Schizosaccharomyces pombe: one gene and its partner. The gene in region 2 interacts genetically with the main gene of each other region. Each region holds a gene or a part of one and is shown on either strand. Other genes may lie near its edges. The genes, in order: gpa2 and git11.

What was found.
Region 1: of git11 (region 2) and gpa2, extra expression of one rescues a mutant of the other (dosage rescue), as found in Schizosaccharomyces pombe (2 studies listed by BioGRID).

Annotation. Positions count from the first base shown.
Region 1 is NC_003424.3:2,515,442-2,521,222, forward strand, and holds gpa2 (heterotrimeric G protein alpha-2 subunit Gpa2), read right to left. Parts: upstream 3,799-5,781; 5' UTR 2,875-3,798; coding exon 2,754-2,874; intron 2,591-2,753; exon of another isoform or gene 2,349-2,590; coding exon 1,405-2,348; 3' UTR 612-1,404; downstream 1-611. Other genes in the region: SPOM_SPAC23H3.12C (hydrogen/potassium transport protein), read right to left, coding at 1-432. UniProt on the Schizosaccharomyces pombe protein: Alpha subunit of the heterotrimeric guanine nucleotide-binding protein (G protein) involved in glucose-induced cAMP signaling.
Region 2 is NC_003423.3:4,028,612-4,032,392, reverse strand, and holds git11 (heterotrimeric G protein gamma subunit Git11), read right to left. Parts: upstream 1,897-3,781; 5' UTR 1,839-1,896; coding exon 1,783-1,838; intron 1,694-1,782; coding exon 1,531-1,693; 3' UTR 821-1,530; downstream 1-820. Other genes in the region: COP9/signalosome complex subunit Csn1, read left to right, coding at 2,834-2,894, 2,954-3,228, 3,303-3,781. UniProt on the Schizosaccharomyces pombe protein: Gamma subunit of the heterotrimeric guanine nucleotide-binding protein (G protein) involved in glucose-induced cAMP signaling.

The DNA of each region.
Region 1 (5,781 bases), on a different chromosome or scaffold from region 2:
AATATTTGGTATTAGAGGTATGAGAATGAAAGGTATAGTCAATGGTAATCCAATAATATTACCAATAAGGTAATTTGTATGGGTCTTTTGTAATTGTTTGGACCGATTCAACTCAGCTAAAATAGTACTTGATTCCAAATTTGGAGGATGTTCAATATACAAAGTTTGGTGTAATTCTGTATCATTTAGCTTCTTAACAGGAGCAATCGCCCTTAAAAAATTTTCTTCATAAGGAGTTGCATGCAAAATTCGGTTTCCCAAAGACACAACCTTTTGTTTGGTATAGCTTTTTGAAGCACTCCAGGAGTCCCAATACTTGTAAATTCTGTTTATAATTTTGTCGTGAATAGTAACTTTTTTGGCAAGGTATTCAGAAGGATAACAATGTAAGAATACCCTTTGATTTGGCAAAGGAAGTGCAATAATTCTCATAATTAGTTAACGAATGTACTTAATTGTTTTTACAAAATAAATATTGAAATAAATAAACCTGCAGTAACACAAAGATGGGTGGATATACTAAAGTAGAAGCTAAAAGTGGGTAACGAATATCTATGTAGTAGTATTACTATCTAATTTAATCAAATTGATACGTATACAGAACAGTGCGGCTTTTTATTATACATGGCAGAAATACACGTGTTCAATAGCTTTTTTGATTAGTAAATTAATATATTAAAGAAAAGATACTGAAAGTCGGTAAAAAGTATCAGTCTCTGGTGCCAACAAAGAGAGACAACAATTTTGATGATTCAGTGAAATAGTCTATACAAGTAGTCTAACAATTAAAAACTAAATACTAAAACAAAAGCGATTAAATCATGTATCCACTCAAAGTCTCTTAGTACTCAAACGGATTTTCTACGACCCTCATAAATAGCAGCATTAAGTGATAGCAATAGTTCTGAAAGCAGAGATAGATGTTCGAATCAAAACTGGAGATCTACTTTCTCAATCTTAAGACTATGTTCAACAGAAAGTATTCAATAACTTTAAAAGCATTCGCCAGCAGCATCGTTTAAAGTAAAAAATTAAATGCAAATTGATATTCGCAAAAATGACAAAATATTTATATCAACTAGAACTGTATAACTTGGTCATCTTAAAGAGATTATTTAATAGCAATCTGTGAACGTTCTGAGACAACTGAAAAGGAGATCGATCCTTTTCCTTACAGACAAATCGGTGATTTCAGATTCCAGCAGCCAATGTATATATTGGAAAAATATTTTTAAAGAACATGTGTAATAAACTCCGGACAATATTAAAAAAAAAAAATAAACGAATGTAAAAGAAGCGATTCTTACAAGGAGGCTTCAGAACTCTCTAGACATATGCAGACAGTAAGAGGTCTTCTGTTAACATATGAATAATGGTAGGGTAAATTTTATCTTCAAATTAAAATTAAAACATTCCCGCTTCTTTCAGACTGTGTTGTAGAATTGTTTCCTTAACGGCAGAAAAGACAACCTTTATGTTAGATGTGTCTACAGCGGTGGTAATGTGAGGATATATATTATGCTTAGCCCGATTTATAGAAGGGTTCACAAATAACCAAAGAATATACCGGGTAATACTTTTAACAGAATTTTTACCTTCATATTGGGGGAAGTAATCCTGGAACGGAACATGTTCCAGTTTCTTCCGAAACAAATCAAATTTGTTCAAAAACAGAATGATAGAAGAATGCATAAACCACTGACTGTTTATAATAGAGTCGAATAAAGAAATACTTTCAACCAAACGATTGCGTTCTGGGGCGGCTCTTTCATAAAGCTTTTTATCATAATCATTTAAGGAAACACAAAATATGATTGAATTCACATTTTCAAAACAATAAATCCATTTCCTTCGTTCGGTTCTTTGACCACCAACGTCGAACATTCGAATTTGCAAATGATCCAATGTGAACGATATTTCCGAAATACCCAGAGTACTATTTCTAGACCGGAGAATGTCATCTATTGTAGGGACATAATGCCGACTGCAAATTTCATCGGCTCGCGAAAAAAAGTAAGGGGCAGAGTCAATGAGTACGGAATCATTTCCATATGTACAGGATCTAACACTATTGGCTGACCAAAGACTAGTAATAGCTTGGCCAATATTAGCATTAATAAGCTCACCAGGAGTTGGATTAAATTTTTCGATTATCTCGCAATTGTGGGTTCCTAAAGGGTCCAAGTTGATACCTTTTTGAACGATAATTTTAACAAGGGTTTTAGCAGATTCCAACAGGTTTCGTCGGATCACCGGAATAAATGTCATAATCTCTTCTTGACTAAACCCATTTTTGTTGAGAATTTTGATTTGCTTACTGATGGTACTTTTTCCACTATCGGAGGCACCTAGAAAACAATGGTTAGACTGACGATTGTAAGAAACAAAGGAAGGAAAATTTGCTATAGGAATCAAACAAAAAATCTGTGCTATGCAATGGAGAGAAACGGTAAGAGTGTAGAGCAACTGATTACAACATGCAACGACGACGAAAAGTGGTTAACTAGAAGAACGTTATCAAAGTCACCTTCACTGACTGAGTATTGAAGGGAAAGGGTAACCAAGAGTAGAGAACGTAGACGCAATTAGACAAACCATTTTCTGTCATTTCTTAAACAGTTTCTCTGTTTCGTAAATAGTTTCACTCATTTCGTTTCTTTATTTTTTTTCTCAATCTTTTCTGCTTTTTTGCTCGACTGCCCAAGCATATATAACTATTGAACAACAACAACAACATTGAGTAGTTTACGTACCTAAAAGCAACACTTTGTAAATCTTTTTATCCTTCTTCGAGGCATTTTCAATCTGCTTTTCGATTTTGCTGTTCAATTTTTTTGATTCACCGCTTTCAGATAATCCATTAAAAATCGTCATTTTTTTTTAATCCACTACTGCAGAATATAAATACGGGGATGTAGTAGGACACCAAACTTCTCAATCCGACAGCTAGCGGGTTTTTGGGATAAGATGGGAGAAATAAATATGAAACAAAGTAAGAAGGTTAAACGCAGGTAGGTAAGGTGTAGCAGCAGAGAGGCGAGGACTTTCCAAGAAAAGCCTTCAATCCAGTTCTTTTCCCAATTAAAGCAAAGATTAAATAATAAAATGGAAAGAGAGCAAGTTAGAAAGAAAAGTGAAACGCAAATAAATAAAAGTATTAAAAAAAAAGTTGAGGTAGCAAGTATGATTAAGTAGGAACAAGGGTGCGGGTGTCAAAAGGGGATATTACAGAATAGGAATCAATAATCAAAATATTGATTAGTCAGTCACTAAACTATACGCGCAAAGTTTGATTAACCCCCTTTATGGGCGACCTTTAAATCGCAATTTCAACTTTTTTTTGAGTTTCACCAGATGCCTCGAAAAGCAGGGGGTGGAGGAGAATGAGGAAGGATCGCAGGTCGGAAGCTAGCCGGCTAGCTAATTGACACAGTGAGTACGAGTGAATACCAAGGTTGATTAAGGCAAGAAGAAAAGGCTGAAATCAGTTGAAGAGATGCAGCGACAAATGAGAAACTCGTGAAAATTGATTTCTCGTCGTCTTTCGATGAACGAGAAAAAAATTAAGAATTGTACAAGGAAGAAAGAAGAATTAGAGGCAAAATATCTCAATTCTTACTACTGTCCAACTAACCGAGTGTACAATTAAATCCTTACTTTCAATTCACACTACCCTAAATCCAACAAGCAGCAGCAAAAGGGCAAGCGTTTTGATGCTTCAAACAGCTTAAGTAGCTAACAACTATGGTTAGATTGGTACCTGAGCGGTGATTTCGTCTATACTATTTCGAAAAAGACAGACGGCAACTCTGGTATAATTTGTATTTATGAGGCACTACGTCATGCATCATCCATTTACGATTTTAATTTTTCGAGTGGGGTAGAGAGGACAGTTCGGAAAATGTAACATTGGAAAAGGATCCAACACATACCACCAAACAAGCATCATTCAAGTAAAGAAGATTGGAGTGTAAGTCTTACTCTTCGATTATGACCTTGGGCGAGGGGAGCAGGCAGTAAGCTGAGACCTGTGTGAGCTTTGCATTCTATGTAAGTATCGCATAGAGAAGCGCCGCTCATCAAAATAGTTTTTTATGTTTTATGTTTATATGTCATTAACTGGTTGGTCCAGCATTTCTATACTACTAAACTATACTGCTCTATTACTACTCTAGTAACTCAATGAGTCGTCCCTTGTTTATGGCTGAAGATGCAAGCAATCGGGATAGCAAAGATGACCAAAGGAAGTGTTCCAAAAAACGCGCAATCTTTCCAAGCAATGTTTAATGAGTGTTTTCCCAATCTGAGTTTGTTCACTTTCATAATATTTTAAATTTTCAAGCCCCAATTTTACCAAGTTCAATTCCAGTTACGGAGACTTATTTACTCAGATATGAAAGTAAAGTGCACAAGGGATAAGGCAACTAACTTGATCGCAAAGCGTGGGCAGCTATCACAAAGCTAGAAAGAAACATATAAAAAATCCATAGACGATTGGGTACCAAGATGAAGCAAAGCATGTTTTCGCAACTGACCAGTTTTACCTGACAGTCGGAAAATTTTTCAGCTGTATAAAAAAAAGAAGACATGGGGACTTGCAAACAATCTAGAAAAAAGGGATTTTTGCGTATCTAGAACAAATGTTAAACATGAAATGGGGTCTTGAAACTGAATACAGCGAACTAGACATGCTTTTCGCCCCTCCCCCGCTTGGTCCATGAAAACATTACTAAGTATACCCTGCTACCATAACTCCTCTCCTATTTCTCATTGCTCGATAAATAGCACAAAGCAGCTTGACACTACAAACTACATTTCAACGCAAAAAAAATAAGGAGGACTTTGTTAAACTGCTCATCGTTCCTAATTTCATTCGGTTCCTTAAATTTAATGGGTAAGAATGGTAAGATATCCTGATGCCGTTACTTGCTGGTTACTTAGTCTTGGAGGTTCGGGAAGGACTGCATTTGCCCCGCTAAAATAAAATAATCTTCAGGTGAGATAGAATTAGCTAGGTTTCGTAATGTTTATGTGGTACTGAAGTCAATCCGTTGTTGTTCGTTCATTTATTCATTACATACTAATAAAAGCATGTACTAGTTATAAAAAAAAGTCTTCCAAGATATTCACATGTAGTGGGAGGGTTTTTATATTGTTTTGTTTTTTGATGGTTTTTTTTTTTTTATAAAGATGAAATTCTTATTTGCGTAAGTTTAATTTTTGCTTGATTATAGGTATCCTTGACAATTATTGAATATGTATCTTATATCTCTTATATATGTGTATCTTATATATCTTGCATATCTTGATATATCCCGATATATTGTGGAAACTAGTTTGCCGGATCTGTTTCATGTTGGTTTTAGGGCAATAATTTGAATTATGAGCAAGATGCGCTTCCCAGTTTAAAATAAAACTATGTTAATTTAATTCAAAAAATTATTATAAGAAAATAATTGAATAAATCAATCATTAGCTAAGTCAATATTAGAAGACAACGGAAAAAATATAGAGTAATCTTGTTTTTTCCTAATTTTTTTCTTTTGCCAGTTGGTTGAGAATATGTCCAATATCTATATTTACAGTGTGCAAAAAAGTGGATCATGAACAACCGACTTTCTGATTTTCTAATCTATTGTGAAAACGATGAAAGAAACTGTTTTTCCAGCTACTGTTCTTTCGCTGTGGCTTTTATTTCTTTTCAAGAGTTTTAGCTTTCTTATTTTTTGTTGTAAGCGTATAACCCAATGCTTACTCTCGTCCATAACCGCGTAACCGTAT
Region 2 (3,781 bases):
TATAGGGCACTCCGCCTCTACTAGGCTCGAATACACTACCTAACAGGCTAGTGCGCTAAACTTCCTAAGAATACATGATAATATGATTCCATCCCATTATTGTAGTTAAACTATTATTTACTTTTCTATACACACATAGAGTACAACAACATTTCCTTAACGTACGAGCAAGAAAACATCGGAATTCCGAAAGTTTGACAAGTCTCTCAATCCCAAATACCGGACCCTACGCAAATTATGGCATTGTCGATTCGTCTGGTTTTTTAGGACCTTCCAGTGATAATGTGTTTTGAAATTACCGCTTTTGATAAGAGGTACAACAAATGTCCCTGATTTTTCGTCGGCTTTGTAATTGATCCATTAAATGTGTATGCGGATCATACAACCTTCTGACAAATTTACAACGCATATGCACACTGACAAAATTCGATGTAAACACCTAAAGCGATTCAACCGCCCGTAAAATGATGACATGGATTTCAAAAACAACAACAAAATTCGAACTTTAGCTTTTACATACTACTCCATGTGCGTTTGTCTATCCTTTGTATAAGATGCTCATGATGCAAAAAAATACGGTCAGGGAGGGACTCGAACCCTCGACCTCACGATTAACAGTCGTGCGCAATAACCAACTATGCTACCCGACCTTCTTGCTTACCTGGTAACACAGGTAATTTTATATATACAACTAATTATATAAGCTCTTTTTATTATTGAAGATTTGAATAGTTTAGTATACAAACAAGTAAATGTCCATACTAAAAATTCCTCCTTTCATATAAAAAAAATAAAATAGAAAACATATAACGCCTATTTGTCGACCCTTAGGAATTAATCACACCTGTTGGTTTGCGATATGAATATGTTTATTGAATTGATGTAAACTAAAATTCAAGCCAAAACTAAAAAAAAAAAAAAAAAAAAAAAAATATATTTAAGGAAAAATTAACCAAATGGGTAGGTAAACAACTATAGTCGGCCATATGAATTTCCTGTAGTTAGTTTACATTCATTTGCTAGTAAGGAAATATAAATCCTATTAGCTTCAAGTGTTATAAGAGATTAGAATTTTTAAATATATAAATAAACCAAAAAAAAATAGAATAGTTAACAATCCCCCGAACATAACCTTTTATCCTGAGCGCTGTTTTGTTTGCTTTGAAGAAAACAAAGAATAACAAATTCAGATAATGAGAAAGTCTCGTCAAAAAATTGTATTTTATATGAATAAATAACGATTGAATCAGTATTAGAAAATTATTAAGTTAGGAGAAAATGGTCCACTGTGTCGGTTATTTGACGAATTGCCATTCCGATAACTAAGGTCCAAAAGAATAATTATGGTAAAATCGAAATAGTACGAAATAAAATAAAGAGTATAAATAACAAATTTACCAATCTGATAAATCACTCATCCTAATGATTGGTATAGGAATAGACAATAAATGCTCCTTTCATGTTAATTACTAGGTGAGCACAGACGGTAGGAAGTGCACGTAAGATGCTTAAACAACGTTCCACAAAACATTAGGAAATAGTACAGCATTTGGTAGTGGCCTTATCCTTCGTCGCTTTACCAGGCTTAAAATGCTGCTGCTGCTTTGTCTTCGAACTGACTGACGGATTTGCTTTAGGCGGAGCAACCGATACCATCATTGGTTCCGGTATATTATTTGCATAATTAGCAAATCTAAAGTTCAGTTAGCAACTTTTCAAACTTTGAGATCAAATCAAGCATTTTTTGTTTCACGTCATGAAATTTGCTGTAAAAACACTTACTCCTGTCTTGCTTGTTGAACCGATATTTTTTCATTCAATAAAGCCTCTGTTTCCATTTGTTTAAGGACCGATCAACTACAATTTCAATAAGTAATGCCTGTTAAGTAAAATTATAGCCTTGCCTGACCATTTCATCATACATATATGTAGGTGTGCTTCTAAGCGCACTAAGTATCGTTATTTGATTATGTTGTTTAACCTTATATTCCCTAATATAAAAAGAGGAAAAAAAATAGAATAGCAGTTTTCCAATTGTAAATTTGACACTACTCAAATGCCTTTCACTTTCAGGATTTTTTTATCTCTTTAGTTTGTTCTTTCCAAGTAGAATACGCATATATTACACTTCTCTTAACAAAATAATTGTTAATGCGAAAACATATAAACAATAAACTTGTGACAGATACAAAGATTTTGTCATTGGGAGGACAAAGTAGATACTTTATGTTGATTGGATTTTTAAAACGAAATTATGAATTCTGCTCGTAAATTTCTTTACTATCGTTGTCTTATTTTCTAAGTAAAGAAGTTACATAACCAAACTTCCTATAACTCGAAGTAGATTAGTAAATTCAACCACCTTAAGTTTCCTTTTTTTTTAAAAGAAAATTTATTATTTTTTATTTAGACTTCAACAATTCTTTGGCTATAGATTTGTTCGTTTATTTTTTAAATCTCAATTAGGAAATGCTTTAATTAGAGTTGAGCATTGTTTCAAGGGAATAGTTAAAAGATATTTGCAACAATTTTCATATTTTTTATTTTTATTATTGAATACATGGGGTTCTAATCTTGGTATCTCATATTAATAGTAAACTCATATCCTAACTTTAGATGCGATTTTGCTTGGAAATTTGGGGAAAGAAATAAAATCAATATGATATGTTTTTCTCGTTTCCGTAAAGTAGAACTAATTAACTACATACATCTTCGACTTGAAAAAATCACCATCTTATTATAGCTTTTATACATCTGGTACTCGTCACTGGCCTATAACCAGTTGGCCAATTCTATAACCTACAGTGTTCCGACTAGTTACGAGTTTTCTATTATGAGCTTAAATCTACTAGTCAATCAGGAAGAATTAAAGAGATATCTGGATGAATATGGTGGTAAGAGTTTTTCAATTGATGCATTTTTGCAAGTCATTCTTTTATTCACAGTTTCATAGTATGGTCCAAAATATTTCGCGCGCTGTTTGTCGCCCGTAATTCTAAGCCGTTAAGAAGTTTTTGTGTTCATTATGCCATTAAAGAATTGAAAGAAAAGACATATAATCTAGAGTTGTACCAGTCTCTATTCGAGGAGTTTCAAGATTGCTTCGAAAACGAGCAGCTGGACGTAGAATGGGTTGAAAGCGTTACTTTTCATAGGAAACAAAATCTAGAACAATTAAGAAGGGAACTAAAAGCCTATAAAAACAACTTAATACGAGAATCTATAAGAGTATGAGCTACAAGATAACTTTTTGCTTCACAGACTTTTTATTACATCCTTTGTTACAATTCTAACAACTTTAGGCGGCACAACTAGATTTAGCTTCTTTTTTTGCTGATGTGGGCCAGTTTGATAGTGCTTTAAGATCATATGCCAAAGTTCGCGAATATTGTACAAATGCTGGACAAATTGCTCATTTATCCTTAGAGTTAATGAGAATTTCTATTTGGATTGGTAATTATTCTCATGTACTAGCCTTCGGGTCTCGCGCCAAGTCTACTGTTAGTGCAGCCATGGAGCTAACTAGTCCTATTTATGCATACTGTGGATTGGCCAACTTTTGCTTGGGTGATTACGAAGAGGCCCTGGCTCATTTTTTAAAAGTTGAAACTGATACCTCTGATGGTATTATTACAAAAACTGACATTTCAGTGTATATCTCACTTTGTGCACTAGCGTGCTGGGATCATAAACGTCTGATTCAAGAGCTTGAAAGAAATGAAGAGTTCAATGCTTTGTCAGATTTAGACCCTTCCCTGAGACGTTGTTTGCAAGCGAAATG